Linked DNA regions of Solanum lycopersicum. The main gene of each other region encodes a partner of the protein of the gene in region 2 in a complex. Links are inferred from orthologs where the notes say so. Each region holds a gene or a part of one and is shown on either strand. Other genes may lie near its edges. The genes, in order: splicing factor U2af small subunit B, suppressor of mec-8 and unc-52 protein homolog 2 and serine/arginine-rich splicing factor SR30.

What was found.
Region 1: suppressor of mec-8 and unc-52 protein homolog 2 (region 2) and splicing factor U2af small subunit B share a complex: the UniProt entries of both Arabidopsis thaliana proteins name them as parts of the spliceosome. The link is inferred for Solanum lycopersicum from reciprocal best matches to the Arabidopsis thaliana genes SMU2 and ATU2AF35A.
Region 3: suppressor of mec-8 and unc-52 protein homolog 2 (region 2) and serine/arginine-rich splicing factor SR30 share a complex: the UniProt entries of both Arabidopsis thaliana proteins name them as parts of the spliceosome. The link is inferred for Solanum lycopersicum from reciprocal best matches to the Arabidopsis thaliana genes SMU2 and SR30.

The regions. Positions count from the first base shown.
Region 1 is NC_090810.1:58,046,464-58,049,721, reverse strand, and holds the end of splicing factor U2af small subunit B, read right to left. Parts: intron 2,843-3,258; coding exon 2,716-2,842; intron 2,618-2,715; coding exon 2,221-2,617; 3' UTR 522-2,220; downstream 1-521. UniProt on the Arabidopsis thaliana protein: Necessary for the splicing of pre-mRNA. Probably active at the 3' splice sites.
Region 2 is NC_090806.1:9,685,461-9,689,634, forward strand, and holds the start of suppressor of mec-8 and unc-52 protein homolog 2, read left to right. Parts: upstream 1-1,227; 5' UTR 1,228-1,443; coding exon 1,444-1,493; intron 1,494-1,590; coding exon 1,591-1,731; intron 1,732-1,814; coding exon 1,815-1,864; intron 1,865-1,973; coding exon 1,974-2,091; intron 2,092-2,447; coding exon 2,448-2,496; intron 2,497-2,595; coding exon 2,596-2,685; intron 2,686-3,200; coding exon 3,201-3,269; intron 3,270-3,357; coding exon 3,358-3,481; intron 3,482-4,072; coding exon 4,073-4,174. UniProt on the Arabidopsis thaliana protein: Auxiliary spliceosomal protein involved in splicing of specific pre-mRNAs that affect multiple aspects of development.
Region 3 is NC_090800.1:85,834,302-85,838,612, reverse strand, and holds the start of serine/arginine-rich splicing factor SR30, read left to right. Parts: upstream 1-1,504; 5' UTR 1,505-1,605; intron 1,606-2,512; 5' UTR 2,513-2,559; intron 2,560-2,739; 5' UTR 2,740-2,744; coding exon 2,745-2,828; intron 2,829-3,462; coding exon 3,463-3,528; intron 3,529-4,122; coding exon 4,123-4,197; intron 4,198-4,294; coding exon 4,295-4,311. UniProt on the Arabidopsis thaliana protein: Regulatory splicing factor that modulates alternative splicing and gene expression in specific cell types. Autoregulates its own expression. Probably involved in intron recognition and spliceosome assembly.

The DNA.
Region 1 (3,258 bases), on a different chromosome or scaffold from region 2:
TACAACATTTTTTAAAGATTTGGAAAGAAATAATGGTCTTAATAAAAGGAGTGTTTATAAAGAATTTTTCATCTTCTAAATACTTCAATTTATCATCTTGTTTGTGCTACCTCTTTTTCTTTGACGCACCGATTTATAGACAGTGGCGTAGCAACGGCCATCCAGGATGGACATCCTTTGTCGAAAAATTACATTATATATATATATATGCGTGTGTGAAATTCTATATATAAAAGATACATATTTTAAAGTTCTAACACTTTTGACAAGAGCTATGATTTTGTCACAGTGGTGATGAGTGTTCATGAAGTTTAAATTGTGTAATTAACCATACCTACATATTGTTTTACCTCTTGAAATTGCAATGTGAACTTGGACTATTTTGGAAAAGCATATGCAATTCATGCTGACAGTAGGTGACTAAATTTTGATCAAATCATTTAAATAGGTTTAATAAGGCATTATTAGAGAGTTTAACACTAGATCCTATTCAAATATAAGGAAATAAGGTAACATCACAGTCAGTTAAACTCAAACTTCAACCAAATATTGTCCAAACGCCAACATACACACAGTACAGACCGTACTGTTAGTTCGAAGACCAAAAACCAAGTAAAAGATAGAAGTACCTAAATAATATCATCAAGTTTCTTTTCTAGACGACTGAGCATTTAGGACCTTAGACTGGTCTCGTATAAGTTCACCGCGATTCATAATAGCAAACAGTAGTCTGAAGGATGCAAAACTAGCAGTTCCAAGTTCCGAAGTTGCATTACCCTAACCTAAAAGTAGACTAAAGGAATAAGAACTAGAACATTTGTCGTCTCCACCTGCAGATCGGTCATTCTTCTCTCGTCCCTGCAAATGCCTGTGAAATCAAACCTGTTGGTATATATCCTCTGATTTGGCTCCACAACCTGTATACATTTCCCGGTAAGCAGTAATAAAAATGAAGAAAAAGGCCAAACAACAGTTTGAAAGCTACTAGCCTGGATGAGCTCTGGTCATAAGAAACCTGACTGCACAAACAAGCACACAATGCATTTGCAAAAGATTATACAAGTAAACATCATGCAAGTCTCTTATTACAAAGCCCTTAAAATGCAAGACCTAAACCTAGATCCCGAAAAAGGACATTTCAGCCTGGATAACCTAGAAGAACAAATGGATGACCAAGAAATGTTATGACAAGCTAAGTTTATTATCACTTTTTATAATCCAATCCTAGCTGAACAATTATGGAATAGTTAATGCAGTGGAAAACCCTGTAACAGAAACGTTACACGACAGTGCTTTTTGGGAAGGCAACACTGCATGAGATGAGTTTATTATTACTTTTTTACATGATCCAATCCTACCTGACAATTATGGAATAGTTTATATGCAGTGGGAAAACCCTGTAACAGAAACGTTACACGACAATGCTTTTTGGGAGGCAACACTGCATGAGTCACTTTAAAAGGCAAATTAATGATGAGCATTCATTTGATGATAGCACATGTAGAAGTGGTATGATATTCAGAGTTCCTTTTTCTTTTCTTTTTTCGAAACTGGTATTATTACAGTGCAGAGAATTTACCACCAATTCGACAAGTTTTTGAAACTTTGTGACAACATATTTTTCTCCCAAACAATAACACAATAGTTTGTGAAATTTGAACAATGTCACATAGGATAAATGTTGAGGAATTTCACATCAAAACGAATAAGTCAAAGAAAAATGTATACACCCTATAACACTCAACAGAAGTTCAAAATTGTAAAACAAATTGAAATGACACAAACATTTAGGGCAGGTGGTTGAAGTTGTGTTCAAATAGCTATGTTTTTGGGATAAGAAGTTTGTGACAGTTGAAAATTGTGGGTGGAACTTCAAGTCTACAAATTCAATGATAATTTATGTTCAAACCACTATTTCAACTTGAAATAATAATTCAAAGGGTAGATGCAATAACAAACAACGAATGATGCACAAAAAGAAGCATATCTAAAGCCAGAACACCAAAAAAATTAAAGGTCGAAAACTTTTCAGATAGCTTATCAAAGAATTGAAAACCTGCACCCCCTGCAAGTAGAAAATGGGCATTAAGCTCTATTACACGGCAGGTGGCCCTCTCAGAAGACAATACATTAGGACAGAACAAAAGCATCAAAAATCATAAGGGATAAGGACACAAACCAGCACGATATATTCATTCATTATCCATATGCACTTTCTTGTCATTGTTGATCATAATATTGATCTTGGTTAGGAGCAGATCCATTCTCATTGCTTTCATTTTTGTAGTTACTGTCTGCATTAGCCCTGTTATCAAGTTCTGCCTGTTCTTTTTCCCGGTTCCACTGCTCAATTCTTGCGCGCCTCTCTTCGCTGCCATCCCTAACTGGACTTCGGTCTCTCCTGCCACCGGGACTCCTACTCCTACCCCTCCTGTGGTCAGGGCTTGTACTTCTGTTCCTCCTGCTCCGACTCTCATAATAATGGTCTCTTTCATCATGCTTTCTACTATGACTCCTGTGAGAGCGGTCTTCATAGCTGCGATGCCTATAAGGGCTTCGGCTCCTGCTTCTGCTGTGCCTTGTCCTATACCTTCCAAACAACTGACGTCGCAATTCCCTAATTACTCGGTATAAAAGACAAGTCAGTTACAACTGAATTTCTAAGACTACTGTTTATAAATGAATTGTTAATATTTTGCATAGAGTGGAAATAACCTGCTGATCTTTTTGAGGTGCATAAAGTTGCAATATCCACCGCGGTTGCAGACATTTTCCTCGTACTGTCGACAGGTGGCTTCACGAAAATCAGTCACAGGAGAGAAATCAACAATGATGGGCCTTCCTGCAGAGTTTATTACCAAAGAGAGAAAATAATCACATTATGAACTATTGGTGACAAACTGAACAAGACGGGCTATATGCTCCAATCAGGGTTGGAGACTCGGAGAGCTACAGCCACCATAAATTATGTAGTATATAGGTCAAAATCTATCATTCATTGATACACACTAAACATTGAACACCCTTTACACAACTAATACTTTAGCATGGTGGTAAAGGGTGATAAAAAACAAAATTTAGATTGCTGCCTCGGAACTTGCACAACATAAAATGAGCTTTTTGAAAAAATATGTGGGATGGGGACGGAACATTTAATTTTCCCTTACAAGAACATGTGGGGATTGGAATAAAACATAGTAATAAACTTTTCCTCATGCTCTCTGCCGTTTAGCAGACACCTCCTCCTTGTCATTCGCC
Region 2 (4,174 bases):
GTGCAGTGACTACTTAGAAGATTCATCATCAGCAATACGGTGATGAATAATTGGTGAAGATTCTCCACAAATAACATAACATTGAATCAATAAAACCACATTTACTTCATCAAAAAAAAAATCAATAGAACCACATTTGTCCAGATTCCGACAGTCCGTAGGTGGCATCGTGGTGCAGCTGCTGAAGGAAGATGGGGAAATCTAACCAAATGTGAGGTTACGGAGTGCGTGACGAACCGTCGTATTCATAACGATCCGTCCTGCTAGTTCGTCATGAAGGTCAGAGAAGTAGTCCAGTACCCAAATTCCAAGAGTTTAAGTGTTTTGGAACGGAGACCCTCGACGGACCGTTGTGCTTGTGACGATCCGTCATATCTGTCGTTGAGGATAATGAAGAGAGCAGCAGAAGAAATTGAACAAGTATGGGATGACGGAGTCCATGACGGTCCATCGTGACCACGACGATCCGTCGCGAGGTTCGTCGACCCAGCCGCGTTTTGACAGATTTCCAGCAAATAGAGTCCTTATGTAATTAGTTTTTTTTTTTATATAAATTGTTCGAAAAATCTCCTTTGTAAAGTTTAAGTGCAATGGTAATCGTAATCAAAAAGGAATTGTCACAAAAAGTTACCAGAAGACCATGCAGCCTTTCTCTTTTTCGTTTTTCCTTTTTAAGAAAAAGACAATGGATCATATACAAGAGTTTGATATATCAACAAATAAAAAAATATAAATAAGAGGACATTACTTCCTCTATTTGAGACGTATGGTGGCAAAATTGTGAAGATGTTTGACATCTTCTTCTTCTTGTTCTTTTTAAATCTTATTTTAATGTAGTAACAATTTTTTAATTTTATATTAGAAAAAGAAGAAGAATAGGAATAAATAATGTTTTAGCAAAGAAATCTTTTTTGATGTTTTAACAAAGAACCTTGTTGCAAAGAAAGTGTAAAAATAAATAAAGTGTAAAGGGTATTTTTGTAAACATACATTTTTTAAATAGAAATTATGCAAGATTTGTTTTTTCTAATACATCAAACCAAACAGTGTATAAAAAATAATAATTGCATAACTAATGCAAGCATTACTAATACACCCTATTTTGCATTATTCTTATACACTCTATCAAACGACCCCTAAGTGTATTAGATGGACATTATATATATATATATATATATATATATATATATATATATATATAACACCATTTTCTTATCGATTAAATAAAAAACGCGCTCATTAGATTGTCAAAATCAATTAGTTAAAAATTGATAGTGTATATCTTATTGATTTGATTATCTTCACAAATCGAATAATGATAAATCGAAACAAAAAGTAGGAAGTTAGGGTTATTTTAGTCTTTTGGGGATGTTTATATGAGGTTGATTGTCTTCTTCGCTCGTTTCACCCTAATCTGGAATTTTTGGGAATAAGGTCTCAATCATGTCTTCTTCAAAGCGAAATCACAAGGAAAAGATTGTTCGTCGCAACAAGTTTGTTTCTCTCTTTCATCTTCGATTATGTAAATCTCAATAGATCCTTCTTTAATTTGCTGAAAAATGGGGGATTTTTCTATTGTTTTTGTTACAGAGAAGAGAAGGTTGAAGAACCGGAGTTACCAAAGTACAGAGACAGAGCTAAAGAAAGGAGAGAAGATCAAAATCCTGATTATGAACTCACTGAATTTGGTGGTTTTCATGCTGTTGCTCCTCCCGGGAATATTGATCTCCTGTAAAAAAAAAAAAAACGAAACACCCATTTCTCTTTTTCTTCGTTTAATTTTGTTCTAACTTTCTTGTTTTGAACTTTTACAGCTCTGCTGATGCTCAGAAATTATCTATTGAGAAGAGCAAGTATCTTGGAGGTTCGTATAGTCTGTGGTTGTACAAGAATATTTTTTAGTTTCAGTTCAGCAGTTTTCTTGATATATGGCTTCAGCTAATCAATCCTTGTTTTGGCTGATTGTAAATTAGGTGATGTGGAACATACACATTTGGTTAAAGGGTTAGATTATGCTTTGCTTCACAAAGTGAGAAGTGAAATAGATAAGAAGCCAGAAACTGGAGATGAGGCGTTAGAAGGAAAAGCTAGGTAAGTACTAGGTTACTTTATTGCTTAGTTGTATGTATGACTCATTTACTTCAACCCCAGGAATAAGTAACTGACTCTCCAAGAGCCTGTTAGTAATTTTCAGCTAATAAAGTTGATCCATGTGTAGCTCCCATTGGATAAGACTGTAGCTTTAGATAGGGAGTTCTTTTGTAGATGCCCCTTTATATGTTCTTCCATAGATTACCCTGATTTAGGGACACTCTGCTAACATCTTTTTGTGTATATGCAAAGTAATGAGCATATTTAGTGAATTGTTCTTTTGAACACCATGTCTAAGAAGCAGTGCTGCTGGAAACTGTTCGATTAACTATTCTATTTATCCCTTTTGCTAATAGAGGTGTAAAGGAAGATCATCAATTGTCATTCCGTACTGCAACTGCCAAGGTGCATTAACTCTTTCAATTGATTTCGTCTCAAATATTTCTAGTTGTTGCTTGGTGTAGTTATGTTTCAATAGAGTGACTAGTAAGTTTGGGGTTTCAGTCAGTATACCAATGGATAATCAAGCCTCAGACTGTTATAAAGACCAACGAAATGTTTCTTCCTGGACGGATGGCTTTTATTTTTAATATGGTATGTTTCCCTTTTATACTTCCTCTGCTCTTATGTGTTGTGTATGCTAGGTTCTACTTGCCTGAAAAGGAATTATTTCACAGACCATTAGTTGAGTCCTCTTATAGTGCGCTTAGACTTGAGATGTAATAGTAAACAAAATTTTGTACTTGTGATAGGTAGCTGAGAAGCTTCTATTTCTATATTGGATCATACTTTTTTTTTTTGGGCAAAACTGTAGTTAACTGTTGATGTCACGCTAGAGTTTAGCTTGTATGGCGGGGGTGAATAGTCTTTTCCTTCTGAAGGCCATTCTTTTTCTTGGAGGAAGGTGGAAAGGGTGTTGTCGGAAATTAGATGCTAGAATCGTTGAAGTTGATTTATTTTACTACTAAAATGTTTGGTGATCAGATGTGTCATATGGAATATGGATAGTGAAGAAGATGTGAAGATTTTGTTCACTTGCGGTTACTGTGTGTATGTTTTCTTTCACGGTCTCTCTTTTTCTTCACTTATGGTTGATGTGTATATTGCAGGATAGTGGATACTCCAATGATATTCCTACAACTCTACACAGAAGCAAAGCTGACTGTCCAGTCCTCGAGGTATTTCCCTTTTCCATACTGCATTACTGTCAGGCAATTTCTTCCTGAATTTTCCATCTGAATGGGTTATCTCATCTATATTTTTCAGGAAATGGTTACAGTCAGTGTTGATGGTTCTGTTCTAGACCGAATAGCTAAAATCATGTCCTATCTCCGTCTTGGATCATCAGGAAAAGTTCTCAAAAAGAAGAAGAAGGAAAAAGATAGCAAAGGTGCTTAGCGTTCGTGCCTTCTAAACCTTACTGTATTTTCTGAAAGTAATTAGAGTCACAATGTGATGTAGATTCTTATATATCCAGTTTGTTTTATGGGAACCTTTTCTCTAATTTCCGACTGGTGTTGTTGCATCCTTGGTAGGCCTATTAATATTATTGCTTACGAAAGTGAGTTTGGGCCTGGTTTCCTATAAAGAAGTACAATAGAATGTTTTGTAGCCGGGATAGAATGTGGGTTATTCTTCTTTGAAACCGGGGCACAGGGTGTAATTGAGTGTGAAGGTAGTTGATAACTAGATATAGTATGATTCTGTATTTCCATGGAGACTAAAAAAGAGCATTTTGGTTCTCTGGAGTCCTTATTATGTGTTTCCAACACTAAGTATACCTTGCTTCTTTTTCCTTTTTTCTGGGCTTTTGGATCTTCTTCTGTCACCTGTACATTAATGAAGAGCTGGGGGAGGGGGTCCCTTTTGCCCTTTTCTTGTTCTTTTGTTGGTGGTGAGTTATCTCTTCTCTTCATTGATAAGGAGCTGCACTTCTATATCCTTGTTCTGTGTTCTGACACAAGTTTTCAATATTGTACAGGGAAGACAGTTATATCCAATGGTTATGACGAAGTATTGAAGTCGGATGCATCAAAGAGCCAAATTGATAAAGAAACTGTGCATCCATCTGCACAACTTCCTA
Region 3 (4,311 bases), on a different chromosome or scaffold from region 2:
AGATAAATTTTTTGTTTCCAATTCATGAACCTAATGAATTCTATTAATTAAAATTTTTTTTCTTGCAAAACTCTTTATCCTATAAATTGAGTTTCTTTTGGTTGAAAAAAATAAGCATTCAAACAAAAGTACTTTCCTTTGAAAATACTGGTAAGACATTGATCAAAAGGTGAAATCACCAATTCAAGAGTAGACGAGCAACATTTTCGAATGCTACTTGTTTTGTGGCTTAGTTGAATCCCAAAGATAGAGTTGTTATTTATTATTCCGATTGCTCATGGGAAAGACTCTAACTATCTTCAAGAAACGTATTAACGTGTCTCTAAACCAAGCAAAAATTATTTTGTATTCCTTGTAATTTTATTATTCTTGTTCATTTGTTCTAACCGTTTCTTATTAGTGGGCGGCAATTGGAGAAATTGATATGAATGACTTGTATGGTCAGATTTATTAGTTTTTATTCAAACTATTTGTAACCATTTGAATTGAGTTGTTTGATCATATTGTGCTCTCATTACTTGCTTATGCTATATTTTTATCCTTTTATAAGAGTTCACCATCCTCTCCCTTAACCAATCATTATGCGTATATTCTAAGCTAGATTATGAATGTATTATTAAGAAAATGTGAATCTAAAATAAAAAGTTCGATTAGTTTGGTATTTATGTTTTAAGTATTAAAAAATTATTAAAGTTTTAAAAATATAAATATAAAATTATTTTTTATCTATCCAAATCACTTAGATAAGAGACTTTACCTAATTTTTAAAAAGAAAAACAAAACAAGATAAATAAAAGGTTCAAATTTCTAAATTCACGTGCATCTAATCATCACACGACACTATATGACGTTTCAAATATAGATTTACACATCTATAATTAAGTACTTTTTAACTAATATAACACTACTATATTTGATTTAAGAATAAAGAACATGAATTCACGTGAACCCACTAACCCCTCCTAAATATGCCTCTGGTTCTAAGAATTTCTATGCTGGTGTTTGCTTATGGCATTAAATAATAATTAATTTTATATTTGTAGATTAATGATATCTATTATATTAATTAAATATTAACCTTTAATTCTAAGGACTTGCTTAAGATAACAATGATAAGACACATGAAGAAGGATCAATTATCAAATAGTTGAAAACAACAAGAAAATTTACTATGCTATTCTTGACAAATTATTGAACACTATTAATTCAGAAAAAAAAAATTTACTCTCCTATATTTATTATAAAATCGAAAGATAGGTGAGAGAAGAATAATTATAATCTAATCCTAAAACACGTATTTTGCATATTTGATTTCTCATATGCAGTGGATTTTGTTTTTGAAAAAATAACCACCATTGGAAAAGTATATTTTATTTCCCACTTATCTTATTCCTTATGAGTTACTTTATCATTAAAATATTCAAAAGTGTCCTAGGACAGATGTCATGTATCGACGTGTTTAGATTTAGGAAAGTTTCTAGACGTAACGTTCGATAGCGACTTTTTTTCTCCTATATATAAAACTATTTCTATTTATTTTATCAACTCTAATCTTCTTCCATTTTTTGCTTTCTACGCAACCTGTCGTCGTTGTATATCTTCTAGGTTAGCTGCTTCTCCTTTTCTTCTCCTAATACAATTTATTAGGTCAAAATAACATGCTATTATTTTTCATTGCTTCTCTGTTTTGTCTATGCAAAATTCTGTTTTCTATGTCACACATAATTTTTGATTTCCTAGTTCTTGAAGAATCTTTAGGGTTTTTCTATTGTTTTTTATGCGATCATAATCAAGAGCTTATAATAAGAACAGTTTAAATATATAAAGGATTACCTATCAGTAAAGAATTTCGTTGAATTTCTTGATTTCCGTCTCCCCGTACTATTAATCGGCGGTTATTTGAGTGTTTGGCACGTTTTTTTTTTAATGGAAAATAATTTTCTAACGTATGTGTTGGTGTGATGACTATTTTCCCTAAAAGTTAGTATTAGATATTAACTATCCATAATATTAAAAATTTTGGTATTGTTCTGATGAAACTTTTAGGTATAAATGTTGATAGTAAGTGCAAGAAAAATGACTTGAGAGTTGAGTCATAAATGATCGGAAGTTATTTCTCCCTTTTGATGGAACCTGTTGGAAAATATCTTCGGAAGTTATTTCTTTGTATATCTGATGTTAGATGTGACTACTATTGCTGACGAGCATAATCTTTAAGAATTGATTTAGATTGATAAGTTTATGGTTTTTGCTACTCGGATTCTATTTTGATTTTGGTGTTCGTAACTTATTCTTTATGTAGAAAAATGATTTAGATTGATAAATTTATGGTTTTTGCTACTTGGATTCTTATATTCTATAAAACTTCATTTTGATTTTGGTGTTTGTAACATTATTCTTTATTTAGAAGCTTTTCTTTTACAAATCAAGAACTGTTATAGTTTTAAGATTATCTTCTTGTATTTTGTTGCGATGTTACTTTACTTTTCTTCTTTGTTTTATCCTTCCTTAGTTTGGCCATTCCTTAAGTCTTTCACGGATGAGTTACAGTCAACTTTGGTAAGCCTCTCCTCCCTCCAAACCAAAAAAGAAAAAGGAAATAAACTTCTCTTATTTGCATTCTTGACTGTCTACATTACCACTTAAATCTTACTTTACTAGATAAATTAAAAAGAATTGTCCACATTACCACTTCCAATGTTTGAACAAGCTGCTTATTTTTTTGGGTAATGATTTCAGGCAATATGGGTCGTCTAAGTCGGACTATCTACGTTGGAAATCTTCCTGGTGATATTCGGGAGAGAGAAGTAGAAGATTTGTTTTACAAGGTTAGTTAGATAAATTACTAGTTGCTGGAAAAATACATTGTATCCAATTTCATGTGCTCGCTATCACTAATCTATACATTTACCTTCAATTTGTTGCTCCTTTTGTGTTCATGCCACCTAAAAAAGCTACAATAGGTTTCATGAGAAGTTGTATTTTTGGATGGATCGGAGGATGAACGAATTTGATTAACACAGAGGGAAATAAGTTGCTCCTTTTATCCAAATCACGTTCTAATGAAAGCGTAATCATCTTCTTTTGCTTTTTTAGAGTGTGAGAATACTTGTTTTTTCCTCATTTAAGTTTAATCTCTTCAATGGTTCGGACCTATTCAGTGAGCTTCCATTATTGTCACAGTACTCATTCGGCCTTTCAGTTTTCGAAGTAGCTCCTGAAAGCCATCTAATTTGGTACTTTTGGTGTTCTTTTCCTAATAGAGAAGCCACACAACTTCGCAATGCAATATAAATTAGACATGTTTTAAGTTTATTGCTCAAGTCTTTCTGTCATTATGTTAAGTAATGTAATTGCTTTTGGTTGATTCCTAGGTAGGTTTCCTTGAGATATATTATAAGTTATGGATTTTTTTGATGTGTATTCACTTACCTTCTGAATTTTCTCGGTGATTTTCTGCAGTATGGTCCCATTGTGGAAATTGATTTGAAAGTTCCACCTAGACCACCTGGTTATGCGTTCGTAGAGGTGAGTTCTTTTCTAAGAGTTGAATCACTAAGATGTTAGTTTTATCCTTGGGAATCATTCTATTAGGGGTTTTGGAGATATATCCCCACATAAAAATCAACTTTAGTTTACACAATATTTGATTGGAGTTTGATCTTAGTCTCCACAGAAAAGCAAGAATTACTTAATACACTGTCTAGTTGTTCCCTTTTGTTTTCGTTATAATAATACATGCATGAGTTATGCAGGAATCATTTTATGTGGGATAGAATGAGAAATAAAAATATGTGTATCTGTAATGTAATACATGGATTTAAAAATGGCAAGAATATCATTCATAATAGTTCTTTTTTTTTAAAAGCAAACATATGTTTTAAAATTATACACATATACTATTAATATGTAACCTGATCAAACTAAATACCAACAAGAAATAATCTGCGTTATGCAATCCTTGTATTCTTAATCTTTACATTACTAATCCTGGCGTAAGTGGCCTCTAAACCAAACAATCCCTTATTGTATTGGGAGATAGCTCAATTTTCTGCATGCGTTTCTTTATGCTACAGAATTTCCGATAGATCTAATTGGTGTCATTCCTTTTGTATTTTCCAGTTTGAAGATCCTCGTGATGCTGATGATGCCATTCGTGGGCGTGATGGCTATGACTTTGACGGGCATCGCTTGCGAGTTAGTTGTCTCACACCCTCCCCTCCTCTCTTGGTGATGTGGTGATGTGGGAAGTCGGATCGTTTTACCATATTGTTGTTTATAATTATCTTTGTAGGTTGAACTTGCACATGG